Drosophila melanogaster: one gene and its partners. The gene in region 1 interacts genetically with each later gene. Each region holds a gene or a part of one and is shown in the gene's direction. Other genes may lie near its edges. The genes, in order: lgs, hyx and arm.

Region 1 (3,756 bases):
TTTTATTTGCAAAGCAAATGTAATGAATTTGTTTTTTGATTAGCTCATAGACTATCGGACACGAACAAAAAAATTAATTTTTCAAGTTATGTCGTTATTTTTTTTACATAATACTTAATACTATACATTTATACAGTTAAAATCTTTCAAAAAAGTAACTTTCAACCAAATCCGGAAATAAATTCTCAGTACGATTTTCACAAATTGGTTTACCGTGACACACTGCTCCATTGTTTCCAAATCTTAGCGGAACTTTAAACGTGACAAACTTATTTTGAAACATTAGCATTGACTGTTAAAATTGTGATACGTCACCTGGTTCTGGTTAAGTCAAAACAAATTGAACAAAAATTTCTTGGTGATTAAAAATATTTAAATAAATTTATATCTGTACTCTATTGATTTCCTATTGATATTTTGGAACTAAACCTTGGAACCAATCTTGGAAATTATAATTCTTGCGAACGTTCATGGACAGGAACAGGGCGAGACATTTCATTCCAAAGAAACAGTTGGGAAATGAAAACGCTTTAAGTTCTAATTAAAACAACTACCACTAGACTGAAGCTTAAGAAATAAATGCTTAAGCTAAATGTATTATATAATTTTTATTATCTGCAACATTTTAGTGAATAAACAGTTAATAATTGGAGTACATTCAAATTTGTATGTTGTTCTCAGATAGGTGACTGTGGCATGGATAATAGCATTTTCACACAGATACCAATATATCCGTTAAATTCTTAAAGTGAAAATTTTCAAGTTAATTAAAATTATTATGGATTTTTAAAAGAACTTTTTGAGGCAACACTTACTGGTTAGTAATCTATATAATGTAAGCATTAAATCAAACTTTTAACTTATAAGCATTTTATGGAATCATAAATATTCTTAATTGCTTTTAAATAAATTAAATTTAAATTAATAAATTTTAATAAATTAAAATCTCGCTTAGGTGTTTGCGACTATGGAAAACATGCTTAATATCCTAAGACCAAAAAATTTACAAATTTTTTTTTTTTTAATGCGTATCTTGATTTAGAGATTCAAGACCAAAATATATATATATATATATATTAAATAACATTCAAATCATAGAAGCATTTTAAATTAAATTTAATTTAAATTTAAATTAATAAATTTTAATAAATTAAAATCTCGCTTAGGTGTTTGCGACTATGGAAAACATGCTTAATATCCTAGGACCAAAAAATTTACAAATTTTTTTTTTTTTAATGCGTATCTTGATTTAGAGATTCAAGACCAAAATAGCTGTCATATATATATTAAATAACATTCAAATCATAGAAGCAATACTGTTTTGGGATTTGTCTAAGCAACAAACATTTTTGTTTAAATGAAAACATAATTGCATTTCATTTTTTATTCATGAATTAATGCAAAACAAGAGAAAACTCTTTAGTAGATATCCCCGATATGAGATACCCGCAACTCAGCAAGTTTTTTGTTAAGATAAAATGGGAAAAAAGCTAAAATAGCTTTGACAAATGTGGACGTGTCAGTTTTGGGTGGCTTATGGGTGTTTTGCAGACAAATATAAAGGCAGAAACACACGGAAAGACGGACATAGCCAGATCAACTCATCTATAACTATCCTGATAAAGTACATATATCTTTTACTCCACGTGCAATGGGCTATATTATTTGTGAGAACAACACAACGACGCCGGCTGTTCAGATATTTATAAGAGTTTTGCGATATCCCTGTTATTGAGCAAATATAGATAATAAAAAAGCAATAAACGGAACTAAAACTAAGTTTTTTTTTCCAACCAATGTGAAGAAAATTATTACCTCAAATTACAACGGGGACGACAACCACCCAAGAAAAAATATGTTTTTCCATATATATATGCAAATGCTTCGATTTGTAATTCAAAATAATAAAATATGAGATTGCTGACTGAGCTGCATTGGTCTTGCTTAATAGGGTCTTAAATGAGTAGTGGATGTTTTATGGAATACCCTGGTTATTTATGACTTAAAGCTACCAGATCTGGAATTCTAGTATGAAAGTAATAATTATACCAAATTTGGTTTGTTCGAATTATCGCGGTCTGGTCACATATAAGGGTAGTAATTACATTTTTTATATATTAGATTGCTTCTCTTATTATGCGAGCTGTTTATTCCAAAGTATGTTCGCAATTTTCGACTCCTGCTAACATAACGCACGGTTAAAGCAGGAACATTTGGGCCTATAAGCCCAAAATTTCATTAGCTTAATACGATGCTCCGAAGTGTTATTGCATTTGCACATATACATAAAATTGTGACATAGAATAGGAGAATTCCACATACAAATACAAAAATACAAAATCCTCCAGTAAAATTTAAAACGATATCGTGTTTTGCTTCGCGTATCTCACGTGAGATGTAATCGCATGCATATGAGTGGTGAGTGCCTGCGTGCAGTTCCTGGTCTAAATATGCTTAATTGCGTTCGCCGACTTCAAAAGCAATAAAACGATGGATTTTAATTGCTACTTGAGCAATTAGCCACACAAGGGATCTTGGGAAGGTCGATTTGAAGGAATTCGATTTCTAGGATGCTCTCGACAACAATGCCCCGCAGTCCAACCCAACAACAGCCGCAACCAAACTCCGATGCCTCCTCAACAAGTGCATCTGGATCAAATCCTGGAGCAGCGATCGGAAATGGGGACTCGGCGGCGAGCAGAAGTTCTCCGAAGACCCTTAATAGCGAACCCTTTTCTACTTTGTCGCCGGGTAAGACTTGTATTGATTTCTCTTTGTCCGGAATTATAACAACTTTCTGTGTTTCCAGATCAAATAAAATTGACGCCAGAAGAAGGCACTGAGAAAAGCGGACTATCAACTAGTGATAAAGCTGCCACTGGAGGAGCCCCAGGCAGTGGAAATAATCTGCCCGAGGGACAAACTATGCTAAGGCAGAACTCTACGAGCACAATCAACTCGTGCCTAGTCGCTTCTCCACAAAACTCCAGTGAACACTCGAATAGCAGCAATGTGTCTGCTACAGTGGGCCTTACTCAGATGGTAGATTGTGACGAGCAATCGAAGAAAAACAAATGTAGTGTGAAGGACGAGGAAGCTGGTAAGACTGCCCTACAAATGGTTTAAAATTTTAAAATGTATTGGCGTTCACCTTTGTTAATCATTTAATTGTTTTTTTTTTGCTATACTTACAATTTTAGTTTTAAACTTGTAAACTTGACTAAAACTCGCGAAGCTCGGATCAAAACAGACATTTTCTTGGAACCGTAATTAAGCTCATAAAAATATTAATTCATCTTGATGGAATGCATATCATAGATGTACTCAAACATCTCAAGAAAGACCTCAAATTGGATCAACTAATTAGTTTGAGAAAAAATTGCTGTACTTTTAAGAATATATTAATTTAAAAATTTGCTGAGTGAAATGATATAATAGTCACAATAATTTTTAGTTAAACTGCTAAAGCATTTTGAATAGCCGTGCTACGCAGATGCTACTAGACGCGGTGTAAAAGCTAATTTTTATTTAAAAGCTGTCCTAATATTCCATAACCATTAATGTCCCATTTCAGAAATAAGTTCTAATAAAGCAAAAGGTCAAGCAGCTGGTGGCGGCTGCGAAACAGGTTCTACATCCAGTTTGACTGTCAAGGAAGAACCCACCGATGTCTTAGGCAGTTTAGTAAATATGAAAAAAGAAGAAAGAGAAAATCATTCGCCAACGATGTCCCCTGTTGGTTTTGGTTCAATTGGT
Region 2 (3,756 bases), on another chromosome or scaffold:
AGTTTGTAGTGATCAGCACTGATAGTATGATTTATTTAATGAAAAAAGACGAAGTGCAAGAAAATAAACGAAAAGATACAAGAAATTGGCAGCTGTCGATGGGAAGACAGCTGAGAATTCCCCGGCTCTTCACATCGATCGCCGATAGCCGATCAATATACACATAATTAAGTAAAAACTGTAGCAAATGCCAATGTTTAATTAGAAAACACATATGCAAACGGGTCATGGGGAAAAGGCAGTGCTGTTCGAAGGAAAAGAAAAGGGAAAGGACTTCAGACAGGCCAAGGAAAATGAAGGAGCCGTTTGAGGAGCAGTTGTCGTGTTTCATATATATGTACATACATATGTATAAATACCCGAACTAATCCTGCGGACACAAAAGGGAATTCAGGAGAACAGAACCCAAAATTGCGCAAGCACTTGAGAAACAGAGCAATAGTGGAGGAGGTATTCCCATATGTATTCCCAGTCTGCAAGGATCGAGGGTATAGTGAATGTTTGTACATATTATATTGTGGAGAACAGAGTTTGAGGATATGGTTAAAATTACACGTTGACAACTATTCTAAGATACTACTAATAGAATTCTAATACTTCTTTGCAGACAAGATAGTATTATACATCTTCTACATAGCTTTAAAGAAGAAGGTCTTTGTAGATCTTAAAGATTCCCATACCGAGGGTTGCTTGCCGTCCATATACTCTCTTCAAAAAACCTGACTTATTCAGAGGAACTCCTCCATATTTTGAGGATACCTGCGACAGCAGTTGGCTTCATCCCGAAACTCCGATCAAGATCTAACAAAAGGGAACTAGAATGCATCCCATTTGCCAACTGCAACTTAAACTTCCACATCCACTTCCCATTTCCGCATCCTCGCGTGCGTACGCTAATCAAATATCAACATCGCCGAGGAATAACCGCCAATGCAACACATGCGGGGGAAACTGCGTTCCGTTAGAGAAATATACGTTCTGTTGGCCAAATGTTTGCCTTTTCAGGGGGTTTCGGCTTTCACGGTTTTCATATTGCAGTTTTTTCCCGCCCGTAAAATGGAAAACCTCCCTTGTCCCATGAAAAATGCGAGATCTGCGCTTGGAAGATATCTTTTCGGTTACTCCGATGCAAACAGGACATTTGGCAAGTCATAGAAAGAAGTTCCTGGCGGGTTTCCAGCCCACAGCATGTGTCTTTGTCTCAGGGTCAGGGAGTTACAACTCGGTGATCCTACCTGAACCGAGCGCCTATTGGGGTTTACTTATTCTCTCCTCCGCCTTTGTGCGATCCTTCGTCCTTCGTCTTGTGCCCGTTTTGTGAGAAATCATTGCCATAAACTCTATAATTTATTGTCCACAGCTGCATGGGCATCTTGGGTCTAATCGAAGCTGATACGATTCGATGGAGTCCCTGATGATGTGGATGTGTTAAGCAGGTAAGTGCAGTTCTGCAATCCCCGTAAAATACACCTGTAAGGATACGATGTCCATTGCGCCAAGCTTCGCGTCCTACAATCAGACTTATTTTCCTGAGCTGATTTTATGTCGGGATTTGTAGAAATCTTCTTTTTTAAATTTTTACCACCTTATTTTTTTTGACTTTTCGGTAGCCTAAGCTGCTTACTACTTTGATATCTCTATAGGCGGGCTCGGAATAATTGTTTAAGTGTACTTGCATGGGTTATACATCTTTTGCTTTTATGGTCAGTTCTTTGGGGATGACCTCTAATAAATAAAGTTTAATTTATTATCACAACGTTACACCAGTTTCTAAACGTTTAAACGTTTGTTTTGGTCTTTTTATTTCATATGGATAGAATGTGAATGGAAAAGCTTCAAAATCACACGAGCTTTTAAAATATTTTCAAGGAACCTAATAGGAAATATTTTGAAATCACAGATATCATATATTAGGTTTTAAATCCCAACAGAAATAATGTTATAGTTAAAATCAGGTTTTACACCTGTAAGATTAAAATCAAGTAACAAAAACTATCGACACTAACGCGAAACCAGCGAGTGTCATCGCTAAGGGGGATCAGCTGTTTGCCAACATGTGAGTGTGTGGGTGGTGGGAAGGTCACAAACCTATTGGAATGCCCATAGTTTTTTAATTCATATTCAAGCGGGGCTTATAACTGTAATACACTTTACTATAACTTTAGGATTCCATTTTAAATAGAAACTTTACCAACTTATGGCGATTCGGCTTATTTGTTGTAAGGTGACAGACAAGCTAAATCCTCCTTACGCGACATCCCATGTTAAATCAAGCCTTGTTTACTTACCTATTTTACCAGCCGACTGACCCATTGCTTAATTAAAATCACAAATTGCGTGTTTCGCTTCCCGAAAGGCACAAGAAACAACAGCCACAACAACTAGGACACACACAGCTTCTTTGGCATTGAATTTTCACGTAGACCAGCCCTCGCATAAGCTCGATATTATGTGCACCGTGAGCCGATCGTGTGCTATTGGCAGGCTAGCTCACTTCCGGAATCATAGGCGTTAAATGCGATGCATTTTAAAGCTTTGCCTAATTGTTATTTGGATGGAGCTGCCGGTCGCAAGGCTTTTTTTTAGTGTGACCGCGTTAGTATTTAAACATGACAGTCCAGCTTTGCCATCTGCCACACAAGAATATACCATACAATATTTATAAATAAACAAATCACTAGACGCGCTAGAAAAGTCATTTACTTCGTTTATTAATGATGCCAATTCCTGAAGATGTGAAGTGTTCTAAAGAGTTGTCGTTGTATAACGTGCCATTAAGAAAACTAATTGTTAACAAATCACAGGATACGAAAAGCCGTGACTTAGTGCGATATTTTTTAAAGACGAAACTTCAGCGATTTATACCAAATGAGAAGCGATGCACTCTCTATGATATTTGGTATTTTTCACCCCGCCTACGGTCACACTCCACGCAACCTCTGGCAAAAAACTAAAAATATGCCATAAAAAGCGAGAATCGAAGTTGTTTATATATCTTTCGCGGATTACAAAGTGCGTAGCCGCCGCGCGCCTTCCAGAGCGACACCGACCACACACGCCCGCCGCCCGAAAACACACAGAAAACCGGCAGAAAAATGGCAGATCCGCTCAGCCTGCTTCGGCAGTACAACATAAACAAAAAGGAGATTGTCGAGCGAGACAGCCAGATTATCTTCGGCGAGTTCTCCTGGCCGAAGAGCGTGAAGACCAACTATCTCAAATATGGGTAAGTGCGGTCAGGACGACCTGTGGGACAACTAGGATTAGCCACTAACTCTTACACTTTTCTCCCGTCGATTAGATCCGGTAAGAAGGGCGCTCCACGTGAGTACTACACGCTGGAGTGCCTGCTGTACCTGCTCAAGAATGTGATGCTGCAACACTCGGTCTACGTGCGACAGTGCGCCGCCGAGGATATACCCGCTGTGAATCGGCCGGATCGTAAAGAGCTCCTGGCCTATCTGAATGGCGAGACGCCAACGTGTGCCAGCATCGACAAGAGTGCCCCGCTGGAAATCCCCACTCAGGTGAAGCGTGCCGCCGAGGGTGAACCTTCCAGCGTTGAGGTGGCTGCCAAGAAGGCCCGCTTCGAGGAGACTCAAGTGCAGAAGGTGCGCGAGCAATTGGCCGCCCGATGGGATGTCAACCAGAAGGAGACCGCTGTCAACATGGACAACATCAAGTCGCTGTCCGAGACGATGTCCGTTGAGAAGATCGCCGCCATCAAGGCAAAGCGTCTGGCCAACAAGCGAACGA
Region 3 (3,756 bases), on another chromosome or scaffold:
TAGACGTGCAGGAGCATGAAACCGGGACTCGAAACCACCGACGAGGTCGAGGAGAATGGCGACGCACTGGATCATCGCGAGGGGGATCCCCGACCGCTGCCCTACGACTTCGAAAAGGAGCTGATCCATAGATCTAACCGGCACATCCGACTTTACGAAACCTTTGTTCCAGTGAGCCAAGGTATGCTAGAGATTTCTGGTTAGCTCGGTATATCATGTTTGAGGACAAGCTTGTTGCATCGTAGCGCTCCTGTAAAAATAAAACTTTAATCATTGAAAGTTTTACAATAGTTTACAAAATTGTTCACTACTGCTAATAATATCTTCTCCTGCCTTCCAGTTCATCCGCTAACACGGAAGTTCTACGCCCAGTATGAGCAACGCCAGCCGACGGATACCTTGAGGTACCTACGGCACACTTGGCCTGAGAAGCATGTGGAGCGTCAGAGGCAGCTCGGAAAAGCTGTTCCGCTCCTGGAGTCGCAGGTGTACGGCTGGTTGCCGCTCAAAAGTGGAGAGCGAGCCGCCGATCTGAACTTTCTGCATGCCAAGAAGGTGCGCTGCGGCATGACTGTTCACGGGGAGCGCTTGGTGGCGGAGAGGATTACGGCGCGTCCTCCGTTTAACGGACTCAGATTCCTGCTTCACTAATCCTACGGCGAAGAAATGTCGCACGCTGACCGCCATTATAAATTTATAATTTTTTTTTTAACATAGTGTTAATTTTTTTTTTGTAAACAAATTAATTATGATTAAAAAGCAAAACTAAGCCACGCTAGATCATTATTAAGAAACGCATCTTGTCTAATTCAAATTTAGTAAAAAAAAAGGTGGCAGCTCTCCCTCGATGATTTAGTTTCAGGGCTACGACGTCGATTATTTTTTGTTTATTTATATTGTTTTCATTTACTGTTGCTTCAAGCAGGCGAATGAACCTGGAACAGACTCCTCCTGTAATGCGCACAGCAACCGCCTGAGATTCTCGCAGTAGCCACGCAACATGGTGGGTACGGGTGTGAGTGAAGTGGGTGTTCCGGCATCTTCGGAAGAATCCGTAGATTTCGGCTGGAATCGGCATCGCAAGTCAAAGGTCGCGTTTCACGGACTCAGTGGCAGCCGGCATCTAATCACTTGGGTTCTTTGACTCACATAATATTCATAACTGATTTGATTTGATCGACTCTGCAGGCTCACTCGAACAAGGCTCGCAAAGCAGCCAAAGAGGCAAACGCCAAGAAGTCTGCGGGATCGGGAACAGAGAGCAAACCGGAGCACGTAAAGATACATGGCCCAGGCGATCGTAGTGCAGGAGTTCTGACTGGCGACCAGTTCCTGGAGAGCTTGCTCCAGACTCTCTACAGGTCATGTATGTCCACTAGTTGAAGTACTATCTGTAAAAGCGCTTAATTGCTTACTGCCACAATTAGTTACTTATATATGTACTACTCTGTACGGTTGTTAACCTGTTTTATGCATCACACCGCGTAACAAAAGTTGCCTTTGTTATAACGTTGCCATATTGCAGGGCTTCAAATCTGCCGCCTGGCAGATTTTGTGATGTCCGAGCTAGGTGGAAATGATTTCCTGGAGGCCACCGCGGCCTGGTGCACCCGGAATCCGCACGTTGCTATCTGCCTGCTAGCTGGTGGTCTTGTATTCATGCTGCCCTTCCTTATAATATTTGGGTTTGGAATAGCCACCATGGTTATGACCTTTACAGGTTTGCTGGTGCTAGAAGGTGCGTTCCGTAGTGTTTACCAGAGATCACGTTCTTATCGACTCGTTTTAGGCACACTCCTGACCATTGTGTCCATGGTGTTCTTCGCCTGCCTGGGAGGACTAGTCATAATGGTACCTCTCTTCGGTGTCGCCGCTGTTGCTGCCTATTTCGGATTTGCCCAGGTGTATGGCCTATGTGATGGAATAGAGATCCATAAGAGCGCGTGGGTCATGTTCTTTAGGGATCAACGGAAGGCCGGCGATCCGCCGCCAGCTGCTGTGACCATAACCGATGAACCCACTTCTACGACTGCATAAACCAATATTGCTTGCCCAACTTAAATATGTATTAAGAAATTAAAGACCAGTGTTTGAATACTTTTGGAAATTTAAAAAGTGCGCTTTCTATTTTGAAGCAAGTTGGCAGCCACCTGCGATAGAGGAGTTATCGGTTATCTGTTCTGCGCTCATATACACAGTTTTCATAGTCGGGGATTTTTGTCGAATTTAAATATCTAAGTGCGTCAAAAGTGCGTTAACCTGCCTTTGAGCAGATAAATTTACTTTCGAAGCGGTAAGTAATAGTAAAGTCATAGATATTTCTTTAATTCGTCGCCCAAAAACAATAGTTTTTGGTCGTACCTGTGTTGTCATACACCCTCATGTACACTCAGGTGCTTGTGTTGGTAAATGTTTATACAAGATAAACGGTGAGTTCGAGATAACATGATAACATGAACTAGAAATAAATTCGCCTTAGCTAAATTATAAATATTGTGAATTGAGTTTCTTAAGGATGAAATGCTATACAAATTTCGTGAGATTTTTGTGTTCTCAGAACAAAAAAAATTTGAAAAATTCCTTTGGCCTATCGCACAGGGCCCATCGAGTTATCGGGACAGCAGCAGGCCATCGCTAGTTGGGTTTCGTCGCCATATACACAGTTTTTCTCGAGCAGACAATTCGCTGTTATTTTGTTTCTTATAGCGTTTTAAATAAATAAATCCTGCTCTAAAGCAGACTTAAATTCCTTGGACGCGGTGAGTACTGTTAGTCGGTAGTGAATCCGTTTGGAAAGCCAAAGTTTCTGTGTGCCATGAAAGTTGGAAAGCCATGGCAAACAAGTCGGCGCGGGGGTGGGCAGGGGTTCGCTGGATGTGCGCCTGTGTATGTGTGTGTGTATGATCTGGATACACACAAACGGCATTTTTATGTATTCCTCCCCCGTAAATCGGGCGCTTGTTTTGTTGCTCGCTGGAATGTAAACAATGCCACAGACAGGAAATCGTTTTCTTCGAATCTAGAGGCAGGCTTATCGTTAGGTGTTTTATCTAATCGACAACTGAAATGGAGTTGGGATTCTTTCTGAGCTGCCTACGCGAGTATGTGTGTGTAGGCACAATCGTTTGGATGTGTGGCAACTCTGCGCAGCACTGCATTTGTATGCTGCACTGCCGCGGCCCTTTACTTTCTCTCCCAGTCTCTTTCCCTGTCCCTTTCCCGCACTCCGCACGCGCGGTGTTGCAAGTGCCTTGCTTTGCTTGCGCTCTCCGCATCTGGATTCTGTTCCGTTTAAACGAGCGTGCTGGTCGGTCGCATTTTCCGCTGCGCCTTTTTCGAGAGAAGTGAAAAATCCATTTTGTTTTTTGTTGGAGTGCATGAGATTTGAAAGAGTGCTAAACAAAGTAATTAAATAACTCAAGGTTCGTGGCCAAAGTCTTCGGCAGGTAGACACACACATACCCACAAATACCCGTTCTACCTGCGTAAGAATGTATTAGTGCGTTTGTTTGTATACGCAGCATATTTCATATTATGCTTCGGCATCTCAAAGCGGAAATGAGTTAAAAAAAAAGACCAACGACTAGAATAAGTGACTAACGGACGATATCTGCGTCTGTTGGCAGTCTGCAAACACAACAAGCCCTTCTTTCCGGGGCCCCCATTTAGTGGAGTTCCGTGGTCTCCATCCGAAGCACACACGAACTCCATGTTATTGACTGTCCAGCACATTACTCATATACTCTCCGTCTCTTT

The links.
Region 2: of lgs (region 1) and hyx, extra expression of one rescues a mutant of the other (dosage rescue), as found in Drosophila melanogaster (one study listed by BioGRID).
Region 3: of lgs (region 1) and arm, changing one suppresses a phenotype caused by changing the other (phenotypic suppression), as found in Drosophila melanogaster (3 studies listed by BioGRID).

What each region holds. Positions count from the first base shown.
Region 1 is NC_004353.4:442,208-445,963, reverse strand, and holds the start of lgs (legless), read left to right. Parts: upstream 1-2,052; 5' UTR 2,053-2,570; coding exon 2,571-2,751; intron 2,752-2,809; coding exon 2,810-3,100; intron 3,101-3,574; coding exon 3,575-3,756. UniProt on the Drosophila melanogaster protein: Involved in signal transduction through the Wnt pathway.
Region 2 is NT_033777.3:9,036,867-9,040,622, forward strand, and holds the start of hyx (hyrax), read left to right. Parts: upstream 1-1,893; 5' UTR 1,894-2,056; intron 2,057-2,288; coding exon of another isoform or gene 2,289-2,313; exon of another isoform or gene 2,314-2,605; intron 2,606-2,804; 5' UTR 2,805-3,095; coding exon 3,096-3,226; intron 3,227-3,301; coding exon 3,302-3,756.
Region 3 is NC_004354.4:1,899,047-1,902,802, reverse strand, and holds the start of arm (armadillo), read left to right. Parts: upstream 1-2,156; 5' UTR 2,157-2,293; intron 2,294-2,629; exon of another isoform or gene 2,630-2,759; intron 2,760-3,192; exon of another isoform or gene 3,193-3,499; intron 3,500-3,756. Other genes in the region: CG32801 (uncharacterized protein), read left to right, coding at 16-181, 341-651; Ldaf1 (lipid droplet assembly factor 1), read left to right, coding at 1,001-1,090, 1,189-1,366, 1,526-1,738, 1,790-2,037. UniProt on the Drosophila melanogaster protein: Isoform neural may associate with CadN and participate in the transmission of developmental information. Can associate with alpha-catenin.